Linked DNA regions of Caenorhabditis elegans. The protein of the gene in region 1 interacts with the protein of each later gene in a pairwise test. Each region holds a gene or a part of one and is shown in the gene's direction. Other genes may lie near its edges.

Region 1 (5,636 bases):
TTGAAACAAAAAAATTCGAAAAGAAAATTGGAAAACCAATTTTAAAATCTTTGCTGCAACTACGGTCGACAACTGTGCAAACACCGCTGTGACAAATGCACTGAAAACACCATATTTCACGCGCATTGCGTATTTTGAACAATTTTCAATTTCTAGAATTTCTGCCCCCATTTTTTGTGATTTAACTTGATTTTCTTGAAGTTTCTCTTCAAAAACTTTACAATTAGCTTGTGGCAAAAGTGTTTCGTTCAAAACTTCACCAAAAATCTCGAAAAAGTGCAGTTTTCATCTTCAATTTTCGAAAATTTCAGCAAAATCACAAGATGATTATCCCAATCAGATGCTTCACATGCGGCAAAGTCATCGGCGACAAGTGGGAGACGTATCTCGGATTCTTGCAGTCGGAATACAGTGAAGGTTTTTAAAATTCTCGGATTTACTGAATGAAAAAAATCTCGTTTCTCTCAGGAGATGCTCTCGACGCGCTCGGTCTTCGTCGCTACTGTTGCCGAAGAATGCTTCTGGCTCACGTGGATCTCATCGAGAAGCTTCTCAACTACCATCCGCTGGAAAAGTAATCGGAGCCCCTTTCAATTGTTGTTGTTTTTCTGTTTTGTTGTGGCCGAATCTCAATTTTTACTTTTTTCCACCGTTTTTCCTCTTTTTCTTCACTAATTTCTCAAAATTTGATGAAACATTTGATTCAAGTTTGCTTTTTAAATTTAATTTTTGTCATATTGTATAATTGAGTTCACAGCTCATTCTTTATTTGTCCATGTGATGTGATTATTTTGCGAGAATTTGAGAATTTCCTAAACTACACCTCCTTCCACAAGTTTTCCTTCAAAAAGTTCCACGTGTCCGCTAGTCAGACTGTCTATCATTCTGACGTCTCTCATTTATCCCGCGCATTTCCTAATCTCGGTCATTTATGTCACCGAGACGGTCTGCGTTCACGACACTTTCTTATCGATTCTTTGTTTTTTTCTTCCAGAAAACCTCGTATACGGCGGCTTTGTCCATCGCTGACGGCGCTCCGGTGTGATCCGAGAAACACAGTTTTTGAGCAGCACAACTCCAACAAAAATGACTCGTGGAAATCAAAGAGATCTGGCTCGTGAGAAGAACCAAAAGAAACTGGCCGATCAAAAGAAGCGCCAGGGAGCCTCTGGACAAGACGGAAATGCTGTAAGTTTTCATTTCAAATTTCCAAATCACATATATATATCCAGTTGCAAATAAATATTCCAGGGTCTATCGATGGATGCTCGCATGAATCGCGACGCTGACGTCATGCGTATCAAGCAGGAGAAAGCGGCAGCCAAGAAAGAAGCCGAAGCCGCTGCAGCTGCTGCAAACGCAAAGAAGGTCGCCAAAGTGGACCCATTGAAGATGTGATTGATTAATTCTCACTTTTTTTTGATCATTTTTGTTTTATTTTATTCGTATTTAAAAAAACATCGTATGGGTTTCCCAAAAAAATGAATGCCTCTGTCTCCTTCTCCTGAAAAATGTATGATCACTTGGCAGCTCGCCAACCTAATCATTATCAGAGCCAGTTTCTGATTGTCTTCTTCGGCCGCCGCCTCACCTCATCTCTTCCTCCCACCCCGCGGCTTCTCTCCACAATTCTTGTGCTCTCTCGGGCTCTGGTAACTATGGCAACCGCCGCTCGTGAAAGCCGAGAGCAACTTCTTGCGTAACTAATCTCCTCGATTTCGACACCACACACTTTACCGCAAGGAAATGCGTAGAAAGTGAGAAGAAATGACCGAAAAGTCGTGGTTCGAAACTATTTTCTGCTGTTGTTGCCATCGTACACCTATTATCAGACGGTAATTCGATATTCTTAGGCTTATTTTTTTAAATGAAAATCGTTTGCTTGAAAGCATTTTTTATGAAATTTTGAAGATGTAAAACGGAAAATCCAAAAATGTTTCCTTATTCGAGGTTTTTTGGAAAAAAAATTATATTTAAAGTCGAAAATTCAGCTATTTTTAATATTTTCCGATCGATTTTTGCCATGAAAATATATTAAAAATTATTTTTATTCATTTATTTTATTTATTCTCCACTGATTTTCTTTTTTTTTGCGTTTTTAATGGAAATTAAAATGACAAAACAAGGTAATTGCAGAATGTTTGTTAAAAAATAATTGAAAAGGCGTAAAACTGTAAAATTATGATTTCCGACGACAAGCCTGAAATTAGTATATTTTACAGTTTTAGGCATTTTCAGTTACTTTTTAACAAGCATTTTGCATTTTTCTAGTTTATTTCTCGCATTTTCCGATAAAAAACACAAAAAAATGAAGAAAATAGGCCGAAAAATAAGAAAAATAAAATAAATAAATAAAAATAATGCAAGTGCGCTCCATCGAACAAGTTCAATTGGCGGAAATTCAAATAGGAATTAGGGGAAAACTGAGATTTTTTCAATTTTCAAAAAATCATATAAAATCTAGAAAAAATTTTTGAATTTTTTTATCATGATATTCGGTCATTGTGACGCCATATGCGTGTTTTAAAGCAATTTTCCCACATGAGAATTACACATCAACGAAACCCAGAAATTACAGTACTCTTTAAAGGCGCACACCGTTTTGCAATTTACAAAAATTGTCGTGTCGAGACGCAAATCCGCAAGTTTCCGCATCTGAGCAATATTTTTAGTTTGATGAATTCCCATAGATCGTGCCGAGACCCAATAGGTTTTTTTTCAGAGAAATCAAACTCGGATGTTTTGGCATCGGAAGCGCCGGAAAAACCACATTTTTGAAAGTTCTCAAGGGAGGTAAGCAAGTGCGCTCCGTCGCTCAATCCGAAATTATTTTAAAATTTGAATTTAATCCAGAAGATCCGCGGGATTTGCTCCGTACCAACGGGTTCTCCACAGTGAAAATGGAGTATGATGAGACTTTTCATTTGACGATCTACGATGTTGGCGGGGATAAGGGAATACGTGGAATTTGGAGCAATTATTATGCTGAGGTGTGTGTGTGTGTGTGCATGCGATAGGGCGCACTTTCACACTGGAGAATTTTTGAAAACTCTTATTACACGTGGATCTACAAAAAATGCGGGACTGATTTCGCATGGTTAAGAGCGTTTTGACGTCACATTTTTTTGGGAGAAAAATTCCCGCATTTTTGTAGATCAAACCGTGATTATTATAATTATTCTAAATAAATTAAGGTTCACGGAATCATCTATGTGATTGATTATTCAACGGATGAGACATTCACCGAGTCGATTGAGGTGAGAGAAGTTACGAAATTGATAAGGATTATGAATTATTCCTAAAAGTTATGAAATAAGATTTTTAGGCTCAAAATACGCTATCCGGTCTCGACACGACAACTTTTTGCAAAAAACTAAAACGGGTGTGCTCCTTTAAAAATTTTTAGGCAAAAGTACAGTAATTTCATTTACCGTATTTCTTCTATTAATATGGCCTCCCTATTAGACTTGCACTCCCTATTAGTATTGCTCCTTGAACACCCTCCGAAAATTAGTATTGCACTCCCTATTAGTGAAAAAGGCGGGGCCTAAATATGAGGTTTTCTGCAGTACACGCCACGCAGTTTTCTTATCTTGAGTGTAATATTGCACTCCCTAATAGTCTTGCACTCCCTATTAGTATTGCAAGCGGGAAGACCATCGAAAAATAGTATTGCAGCTATATTAATAGAAAAAATACGGTAGTTTTACAACTAAAACCGAGCCGCGATGCGACACGCAACGCGCCGTAGATCCACCCCAGATATGGCCGAGCCAAACTGGCCTAGTTCGGCAAACTCTTCCATTTCAATTTATGAGGAAATTCCATTAATTCCTAGGGAAGCCAGAAATTCGTGATAAAACAATTAAAACCACATATATTTTCGAAAAACTATGAAAAATCGGGCAAAGAACGTTTAAAACCACAGTAATCTTTAAAGGCGCACACCTTTTCGCATTTCACAGAAATTTGTCGTGTCGAGACCGGATACCGTATTTTCGGTCAAAATTTCAAGTCTCGGTAATAAATTACTTTTAAAAAATTATCATTCTCCAGGCTCTCCACTCCCTAACCAGCAATCCACATGTGCAGAAAAAGCCAATTTTTCTGCTCCTCAACAATCAGAACAATCGAGAATTTGATGACGTGGAAATTTCGAATGAAGTGAGTGACTTTGAGTGACTTAAATAATTTCCCGTAAACTGTCCCCGTCTTCTTCATCCCCCAGTGTTCCTTCTCTATCACGCAAACCTCTTTTCACAGACTAAAATCCAGGCGGGACAACACAAAATCGTACTTTTCTCGCATTTCAACAAGTATAACGGATATGTGAGTGCGCTTCAAGGTAGAAATTCAAAATTCCACCGATTTTCAGCTTGATAACATAAAAAGTGCCACATTGACGGTGATGGCGAGGGCGAAAAAGGATAGAAATGAGTATCAGGAGCAGTTTGTCAGATTCATCGATTCTGTAGGATTCCCATTTCATTTTCTAGAATTTTTAAAATTTTCCTTTTTTTCAGATTTCTGAGCACTATGTGGAATTATCCGAGGGTGTTAAAACCGCCGAGTTGGCGTTGAGGATCCGTCAGGAAGAAGCCAAAGAACAACGGAGACTGATGCAAATGAAAGTGGAGCACGATGCTTTGAAAGCCGACGTGGCTGGCCTGGAACTTCGGAACCAACCACCTGTGCAACCACCGATCCCGCCTGATCCTCCATCGGATCCGAAGTCCGCGTCGGTTCATATTGAAGAAAGTCCGCCGATGTCGCTTGCCAGCTCGACAATACCATCAGATATCATTCAGAGCACGCCTGAAACAGGAACTCCACGAGATCCTGTAAAGTGAGTCACATTAATTTACTTGAGAAATCCGATTGTTTCAGTTTTTGCAGAATCTCACAAACAAGCACGAAGCCTGTTTCGCCGGAATCTAACAGTGTTAAAGAAGAGCCAACTATCATTCTGAAAGACAACTATTTCTTGCCACCAAAAGCGCCTGGTCGACAATATAGCCGGATACAAAGGATTCAAAACGTTCTGAACAATCGAGTAGTGCCAAAATAACCTCCTTTTTTCACTTTTGAAGCCATAAACACTTTCTTGGTGTTGTTAACAGATTTATTGAAAACAAATAACAAGATCTTTAGTCGAAGAGACCGAAGCCCATGTCGTCATCGGATTCCTCCTTTGGCTCCTCCTTCTTCTTGGTCTCGGCAGCTGGGGCGGCTCCTCCAGCAGCTGGAGCAGCAGCGGCGGCGGCTGGAGCTGGTCCAGATCCGGCTCCGGAAGAGACAGAAGTGATGAGGTTCTGAAAACAATCGGGGTGAAACTTGAATATACTTATGAGAAATCCTTACCTTCACATCAACTCCCTCGAGAGCCTTGGCGAAGAGTCCTGGCCAGTATGGCTCGAACTCGACGTTGGCGGCCTTGAGAAGGGTAGCGATCTTCTCGCCGGTGATGGCGACCTCGTCATCTTGAAGGATGAGAGCAGCGTAGACGCAAGCCAGTTCTTGGTTCGAAGCCATTCTTCAATCGTAAGTTGCGCGGTTTGCCTTAGCTCCAAAGAGAACAAACGTTTGATAGAACGCTGAAAGAAAGTATTAATGCCACAAAGTGACCAGGGTAAGAA
Region 2 (5,043 bases), on another chromosome or scaffold:
AGCCATCTGTGCTCAAGGTCGATAAGGTCAACTTTCTCGAAAATACGTTTCCCCTGTCCTCATTGACATCTTTCCCCCTCTCGTGTCTCCTACTTTTCACCCTTTCACCAAATATCGATCAAGTCGATTTTCAACGGGTTCTCCAGGCAGGTGGCTAGTACGTACAGTTTAGAATTGAATAGTGATGTCGTTTCGTCTCGTAGTGTTGAACTCTGGCGTTGTCTAATTCTCTTCTCCGCAACGCATCTCTAGCTTGCACGGCGACGGTCACCCACGATGCTGGGTCGCAAAAGACCTCTGGTCACCCTTCCCGTTACCGCCGATGGTGATCTAATAGTTATCGAAAAAATGAAAGTATTGGATTTTTAGGTATTGTTGCTAGCACAACTGTATTTGTCGATATTGTTGTTTTTTAATTCTCAATTGGGAGCAACAAAATTTTTTACAAAGTATACTCATGTTTCAATATCGGTTCTTGAGTGATTGGTGATAATTAAATCTCATTTAGAAATTCTGATTGAATTTTTTTCCGGTATGTGATTTTTTATTAATATCCTGAAAAATCGGCGAACTTATGTTCAAATAATATAGTTTTTAGTTTAATGTCCCGGCATACTTGTTTGTTAGTTTACGTTTACCATCCAACCTTTAAGCACCTTTTCTAAGGTTTTTCTTACCCGGCGATGGTCACCCACGATGCCGGTCACCAAAGATGCCAGGTAGCAAAGGATCCCTAGTCACCCTTCCCGTTACCGTCGACGGTAATCTCATAGTTATCGAAAAATGAAAGTATTGGATGTTTTGCATGCTGGCTACCCAACTGTACTTGTCGATATATTCTAAAAGTTGTTTTCTCATTGTAATTTGAATGCAACCGATTTTATTACGACCGATTCCAATCCTTTAAATTTTTTTGAAAACTTTTAATGTCTTGTTTTATTAGAATTAGTATTTTTATTTCATTTCAAAATAAAAGCTGTTGAACATTTTTCAACATCACTATCTAATTTTCAAATTACAAGGACCGGCAAGTAAGTTAAATTTTTTTCAAATTTTGGTTAATAGCTAAGTAGCATTAAAAGTTTTAAATCGAAAATGTTTTCAGTTGTTGATAATGTTTGATTTATCTGAAAACTTTACTTTAATGCACAGAAGTAGTGTTCCCATTTGCGAATTCAAATACTCCAAGTAGTTCGAATGTTATAGCTTATTTGTTTATCAGTTTATGTTTAATCCCAATTCATCAAACACATTTTTGTGCGTTTTTTTTTACACGGCGACGGTCGCCCACGATGTCGGTCATCCTCGATGCCGGTCACCCACAATTCCAGGTTGCAAAAGACCCCTAGTCACCCTTCCCGTTACCGCCGACAATGATCTCATAGTTATCGAAAAGAAAGAAAATATCGGATTTTAGGCCTAACACCACATGTGTACACGCCGATATCATTTAGTTTTTTTGTGGTCAGTTTTATCACGAAGGTGCTTCAAAAATTGATCAATTCATAATTATGATAACCTTCAATTTATGACTTTTATGAAATTAGTTGGTTTTGATTACAGAGATGAGAAAATGGTTTTTCAATGAAAGTTCTCACTTAACAATATACATTCTAAAACTATGCCAATTGTTCAAACCAAAACAAAATTGCAAGTCAGTTAAACTTGACTTTAATTATTGACAACAATTAGGTAGATTTCAAAAAGCCAAATCAAATTATTGTTTCATTATTTCAATGGTTAAAAAAACTCGCCTTAAAAGTTTTGTTTTGTCTGAAAACCACAAAGTCATCTGTTCCCGTTTACCTACAATACTTACTTACTTACTAAACTTTTCATTCACTTTTTGTTTATTTAACTTTTTGTGTATCAGTTTTTGTTTACTTTCCGTCCATCAAGCTTTTTTTTCCTCACTCATCCTTTATTTCAATTCTCGTCCTTTTTTCTATAATTAACAACACAAATCTTAATTTTTTCAGTTTAACTCCATAAGAATGGCATCGTTAGCACCATTCTTTAAAATTTCCGACTCCATCTTGGTAAGTGTCAAAACTTTTGTAAAATTTCAACGTTTCGATGCAATATTTGCTATTCTAATAACTTGGTGTTTTCACTTAACACAAGTCTTTACACTTTTAATAAGAACCGATAATCACAGTGAGATGTGCAGTGTTACCACTTATTGAGTAGTATCCTTGTGCAAACACCCCCACGACATATTGCGTACATTCCCGATTCAGAAATTTCTGGCTTATAAGGAAGCAATAACTCTAATTAATTTTAAAAAAAAAGAATAAAACGCTAAATATTATATATACTCAGGCTGATGAAAGTTTCGACGATCTGGAAATCAATAATCATTTTAAATGCACTAGCAAAGGTAAGTAAAGTGTTTTTGTCAATTATCTTATAATTTTTCAACTTCAGATCTAAATGAATACCCAAGAACTTCAACCCCATTGCCTGGAGAGATAACATCAATTTACAGCTTACCCAGATCATATAGTAGGTGTTAATGGATACGATTTGTATTTTTTTAAAGACAAAATTCAAATATGATAAAATTAACTTTTCAGATAATCAAAACCTTTGTACAAGAAGTAAACCAACAACATTCATTTCACAAAATCGTATGTTCGATTACGTTAAAAAATGTTTCTATTATTCATTTTTTCAGAACAAAAAGGAATGACGGAAAAACCGAAGCATTCTGAATATTTTTTAAGACTGATGAAAACACGCCAAGAAATGCAGAAAAAATTAACTGCGAAAAATGGTTCAAACAAAAGTGTGCAGCAATATTTGAGAAAGTTACCGCCCAGTACGAGCAAAGAAGTGACGATAATACCAGTGAAAATGAAACCTGATGACAATTCAGTTTATATTTCTAAAGAATTAAGTGACAGGACTGACACAAAACTACCGAAAGTTTCAACAAAAGAGGTAGAAAAATTTGGAGAGCAGTCAGATGATGAAGAGAGGCATGAGAGGTCTCATATCGCATCGGATTTTAATCAGAAGACCCCGCAATCAACGCATGCAACGAGTAACCATAGGAAGAGAATTTTCATAGGGAGGACAGGTGCTAAGCAACAGCATGTTAGTAAAAAAGCCACAGAGAGTGAATTACCTTATAATATCGACGTGTCAACCTCCAACACGACAAATGCAACCGAGGCTCTCAAACTGTTAAAAAGGCCACTTCTGTTACCAGTGAGTTTTAAAACTTACAAATTTAACTAACAGTTAGTTTAGTGACATAAAAATTAATAAAAGTTAGTGAAAAAGTAAAACATGACCGACTTTCTATGAATTTCAAACATAATATTTCCAACTAAAACCAAGAAGAACCAATAAACTGTAAAATAAAATAAAATGTAAAGTTTTTACTAAACATAACGATTTAACAAAAAAATAAAAATAAAACTTCAGTTGTTATATGTTTTCAAGATAATTTTTGAAAGAGTTCTTATTGTTGGAAAATTATTAGTAACTTTCCTTATAGAGAACATTTCATATTTAAAAACCAATAAAACATTCAAATCGTCACTGAAACATAAATTGGCAAAAAAGTAGGCAATTTCTATTTGAATTAACACCCATCAGCCAGTTTTTTTTTCAAATTTTTTCACCGTGTTTTACACAGCTTTGCATGAAATTTTTAAAGCTAAAATGTATAATCTTGTATTTTCTCAACAGTTTCTCTTAAACAGATCATGTTTCATATCAAAGTTTTACACAGCAAAAACTGCAAAAAATGAAAACATGAAAACGTACAAAAGTGTTCAAAACTATTCCAAAATATTAATTTCCCAAAAAATAATGGCTTGTAATTTTCAGAGTAAGGATCCACGATCGTCAAAAATGCCCCGTTTAGATCTCAATCAACATCAATTCCGCTGCAAACAGTACATAGTCCATTCACAATTTACATGTACTCAAATTGAGAAAACATTTAAGTGCAGAGTTGGAACATCGACAGAGAGTGAAGACCTTGATGATTACTATTTTGATGGTGAGTACTTATTTGTTCTTGTGTCAGTTATCAATAAGCGAAGAAATAAACAAAAACAGTATTGGAAATTAAATCGAATGGTCTGCACACTGTGTCAACCACAGCGCCTCCATGATCTTAGAAACAAACAAATGAGCAAGAGATTACCGTGCGCTCTTTTCCCGACAAACATAGAAATATAGTACTTGATAGAAAAGAAATAGGGAAAAGAGGAGGGCAAAAAGCAACAAGTTGTGAAGAATAGTCAACAATATTGGTCGGGAGGGAGGTTTCTGCTTGTACGTATATATTTATTGAAGTGACGCCGACTGACGACGCAGGATTTGCTTTCATACAATTTTTTTTGGGGGGAAACACGATAAAAATGTCCCGTCGTTTTTATGCATCAATGCATCATTCTTCGGAAGTTACTATTATACATACAATCACTTTCTTAGGGTTTTTTTCTTTATTTTCCAGTGAATGCTCAAATTGTATATTTTCTAGTATGATTTTAATAGAAGAAAGTTTTCATTGAAAATAAGACAAATAGATAGGTCAAATAATATATAATAAATTGAGTGGTATAGCATTCTATTTTTTCGAATCAAAAACTCAAATCTTAAACGAATAATTTTTTCCATCCAAACTGAGCTACGATTTTGACACTTTCTGAATATTTTCAAAAATTTACAAGCCTAGTCGTATATTTTGAAATTAAATAATTAAACCTTGAGAGGTTGGCAATTTTAACATTTCCGAATTTTGACATTGCCGAACATCTCTGCAATGAATGTTTGGGGGTTCTATGTATTCTTGTCGTAACTATTTGTTTTCTTTGCACTCGTTCGCTTTGACCAGACCACTTTTCTTTTATGCTATGAACTCATTACGCAGAGATCTCGCACAACAATTTGTTACTTGCACTGTTCATCTTGTCCTTTTTACTCTTTTTTCCTTCCGTTTACTTTTTCATATTGCACACAATGAGACTGTGCTGATGGCTGCTTCAAAATTTCTGGGACTGTGCTTCACATTCTTGTGTACTC
Region 3 (3,591 bases), on another chromosome or scaffold:
ATTACCACAGGCTTCACATCAGCCAATGCTTGCCGCTGCTCACAATTTGCACAACGAACTGAAACAATGGAGTTCACAGGAGAACGATATTGTGGCGGCTGCGAAGAGAATGGCCATTCTGATGGCTAGACTATCACAGTTGGTTAGAGGTGAAGGTGGAACTAAGAAAGTAAGTTTTGTAGAGAAGAAGATAGTGATCTTAATGTTAAATTTAAAGGATCTCATCAATTGCTCCAAGGCAATCGCAGATTCTTCTGAAGAAGTTACCAGATTGGCAGTTCAACTTGCCAGACTTTGCACAGATATCAAGATGAGAACGGTGAGCATTTAGTTCATTCTATCTAAAGATTTAAAATTTATTTTCATTTTCAGGCACTCCTTCAAGTCTCAGAAAGAATTCCAACGATAGCTACACAATTGAAGGTCTTGTCAACAGTCAAGGCGACAATGCTCGGATCAGCCAGTGAGTTGGAAATTTATTTTTTCGTTGTTGAAATTATTTTAATTATTTTCAAATTTGATTTAAATTATCAGAACCCATTTCAGATGTCATCGGCCCATACGGTCAACCAGTCGAGGGTAAATAATTGATTTTCAAGAGTTTCGGAAACTAATTGTGTGATTGAATTTGAAGTTTTTGTCCCATTTTAATACAACTTAACAATTCTCGCGTGAATTTGAAAATTGAACGACAACATAAAACATCGAGTGCCTTAACCTTCCGATTCCCTTGATTCTCCTAATATTTCCGTTTTTCTACTCTTTAAAATAATTTTCTTGAATTTCAGGCAGCGAAGAAGATGATGAAGCAATGCAACAATTGGTGCATAATGCTCAAAACTTGATGCAATCTGTGAAGGATGTTGTCCGTGCTGCTGAAGCCGCCTCTATTAAAATCCGTACCAACTCGGGACTTCGTCTCCGTTGGCTCCGAAAGCCAATGTGGTCCAACTTCTAAATCCCCGTTCATTACCGATTCTCTTTCTTCTCAATCAATGTTTTGCATATTTTATGTATTTTTCTACTGCTTTGCTAGTCATTTAAATTTTTTGCATAATAATTTTTTTTCATTCTTAATAATGTTACTTTTCAGTTTGAAATTGCTCCAAATCTTCCACTCTCCTTTCCCCATGAATCCCTCGAAAAAGTGCCTTTTGCAACAAAAATACGTCTTTTCTACTCATTTACTGTCTACTGAAACTGCCTTTCGCTGGAATTATTCTTAAAAACTCCCCATATTTCCAATTTTTTCTTTCCAGTAGTTTTATCAGTAAATGGTCGTTTAATGTTTTTCAAAAGAAAAATTATCGAATTTGTGTAGAATGTAATTTTTATTTTTCAATTTCTTTTTTTTAGTCGCCTTTGTTTCTCCTTGAAATATTGAACAATATCGATTTTTTGTGAATAAAAACATTTAAACCACTAAAAAATTTCTTGATTTTGGTCTTAAACTACGAAAATGGAACACAAAATCTGAATATACACGAACTTCTTCGATAGGATCAAGAAAAATAGAAATAACATTTTCAGCATATTAAAAATAATTTTTTATAGTTTAATTTATTAAAATTTTTCATTGAATGTACTGATAACGAAACAAAATTCATCGAAATCGTGTCGCAGCATAAATAAAATTGTTCGTTGGAGAGGAGTTCACGACAGAGAGTGCGACAGGGCACGCTTTCTTGCGTCCAAGGGACAGCCAGTTGTACAGCTGCCAGGTCTCGCAGCGAAATTGATTTTAGGCCAGACGCAAGGAAATTTTTAGAGAGATTTTTCCTATTTCTCCTGTTCTCAACGCAAAATTTTTTAATTTTTTCATATTTTAATGAAATAACGATGTTAAATATCATTTTTGAGCGATAGTTGTGCTATGTAGTTAATCTGTTCCATTTTATGCTTACTCTCACTATTTTTATCATTACATTTTCGTGATTTCTCATTTTAAAGTTCAAAATTCCAGCTTGAGGTACACACTTGAAAAATGAGAGGACCAAAGAAGCATCTTAAGCGTCTCGCTGCTCCAAGCCATTGGATGCTCGACAAACTCGGAGGAGTCTTCGCTGTTCGTCCAAACCCAGGACCACACAAGCTCCGCGAGTCCCTTCCACTCAGCTTGTTCCTCCGTAACCGTCTGAAGTACGCTCTCAACTACACCGAGGCCAAGAAGATTCTCACCCAGAGAGTTGTCCGCGTCGACGGAAAGGTCAGAACCTGCCACAAGTTCCCAACCGGATTCATGGGTAATTATAATTTGTATTCTTTCTAGTTTTGTATTCGCGTTTTCAGATGTCGTTGCCATCGAGCGTACCAACGAGTATTTCCGTATGCTCTACGATACCAAGGGAAGATACGTCGTCCACAGAATCCAAGCTGCCGAGGCCGACTTCAAGCTCTGCAAGGTCAAGTCTGTCCGCACCGTCAACAAGGGAGTTCCAGTCCTCACCACCACTGACGGACGCACCATCCGCTACCCAGACCCACATGTCAAGGTTAACGACACCATTGTTTTCAACATCAGCACCCAGAAGATCACCGACTCCGTCAAGTTCGAGCCAGGAAATTTGGCCTACGTCACTGGAGGACGTAACGTTGGTCGTGTCGGAATTATCGGACATCGTGAGCGTCTCCCAGGAGCATCTGACATCATCCACATCAAGGATTCTGCTGGACACTCCTTCGCCACTCGGTAAGTTTGCCTAAAAGGCTAAAGGAGAATGAAGGTCGGGGGCCGCGAGGGTCGTAAAAGTCCGGCTAAGGTTGGTTGCTAATTCAAATTTTTCTTTTCAGTATCTCCAACGTCTTCGTCATTGGAAAGGGAAACAAGGCTCTCGTCTCCCTCCCAACTGGAGCTGGAATCCGTCTCTCAATCGCCGAAGAGCGTGACAAGCGTATGGCCCAGAAGCACTAAACTGTTGTTTTTGTTGAAAAATAAAATTGTTAATCTAAAAAACGACTTAATCTTCAAAAGGGAAATTGTTTTAGCAAACCTATCGCTTTGAGATATGAGACTAGTCTTAAAGTTTGCATTTTTGGATATGGGTCATCTTGATATTTGGAAGTCTTTGTCCGGTGTTCTCTGTGTTTATAAGCACTCGGGAATTTCCTCCGCTGGGTTGATCAAGCTGATTACTCGTAAGATCGCCGAATCTGTCTCTGATATTGAATCTACTTCTCGAATTCAACTTCCTCTGATCTCCATCCCAGTCATCGAAGCTCATGAAAAGTCAGGCGCTCTAGTAGTCGTCGGCCGGAATGAAGTGGCTGATTACAGGTAGTCGTAATTTAAAATATATCAAAGTTAGAGCAATAACTTGATTTTGGAAAATTTAACATATTTTAGCCAAAAATTTGGTTATTCACAAGATCTGCATAAAAACGAGAAGAATGTTCTGTTATTTTCAGATATCATCCACTTGTGTCTGGCAGATCAATCAGACAAGAGGACATTCAATTGGTAGACGTACTACCGTTGGCCACAAATAGTTCTGGAGTCTGCTGTAAGGTAGAATTAATAATTTTCAAAACAAATTGATATTTTCAGTGTTCGGTGTCAATGATGGTTGTGAAAGTATTCCAGAACTCATGTCA

Evidence for each region.
Region 2: the proteins of arl-13 (region 1) and dim-1 interact in a two-hybrid assay, tested with the Caenorhabditis elegans proteins (one study listed by BioGRID).
Region 3: the proteins of arl-13 (region 1) and rps-4 interact in a two-hybrid assay, tested with the Caenorhabditis elegans proteins (one study listed by BioGRID).

The regions. Positions count from the first base shown.
Region 1 is NC_003279.8:2,063,982-2,069,617, forward strand, and holds arl-13 (ADP-ribosylation factor-like protein 13B), read left to right. Parts: upstream 1-1,736; 5' UTR 1,737-1,767; coding exon 1,768-1,835; intron 1,836-2,722; coding exon 2,723-2,793; intron 2,794-2,853; coding exon 2,854-2,990; intron 2,991-3,194; coding exon 3,195-3,257; intron 3,258-4,056; coding exon 4,057-4,164; intron 4,165-4,263; coding exon 4,264-4,329; intron 4,330-4,375; coding exon 4,376-4,471; intron 4,472-4,523; coding exon 4,524-4,846; exon of another isoform or gene 4,847-4,887; coding exon 4,888-5,068; 3' UTR 5,069-5,113; downstream 5,114-5,636. Other genes in the region: rpb-10 (DNA-directed RNA polymerases I, II, and III subunit RPABC5), read left to right, coding at 324-417, 469-578; moag-4 (Modifier of protein aggregation 4), read left to right, coding at 1,087-1,188, 1,252-1,398; rplp-1 (Large ribosomal subunit protein P1), read right to left, coding at 5,148-5,312, 5,362-5,532. UniProt on the Caenorhabditis elegans protein: Cilium-specific protein required to control the microtubule-based, ciliary axoneme structure. Required for normal sensory cilium function. May act by maintaining the association between IFT subcomplexes A and B.
Region 2 is NC_003284.9:8,055,164-8,060,206, reverse strand, and holds the start of dim-1 (Disorganized muscle protein 1), read left to right. Parts: upstream 1-1,986; 5' UTR 1,987-1,994; coding exon 1,995-2,039; intron 2,040-2,322; coding exon 2,323-2,380; intron 2,381-2,427; coding exon 2,428-2,505; intron 2,506-2,576; coding exon 2,577-2,630; intron 2,631-2,677; coding exon 2,678-3,213; intron 3,214-3,840; coding exon 3,841-4,015; intron 4,016-5,043.
Region 3 is NC_003282.8:7,083,055-7,086,645, reverse strand, and holds rps-4 (Small ribosomal subunit protein eS4), read left to right. Parts: upstream 1-1,963; 5' UTR 1,964-1,984; coding exon 1,985-2,243; intron 2,244-2,289; coding exon 2,290-2,689; intron 2,690-2,715; exon of another isoform or gene 2,716-2,774; intron 2,775-2,790; coding exon 2,791-2,911; 3' UTR 2,912-2,950; downstream 2,951-3,591. Other genes in the region: deb-1 (Vinculin), read left to right, coding at 1-169, 218-319, 373-463, 547-579, 789-958; Y43B11AR.3 (TruB_N domain-containing protein), read left to right, coding at 3,039-3,274, 3,406-3,500, 3,545-3,591.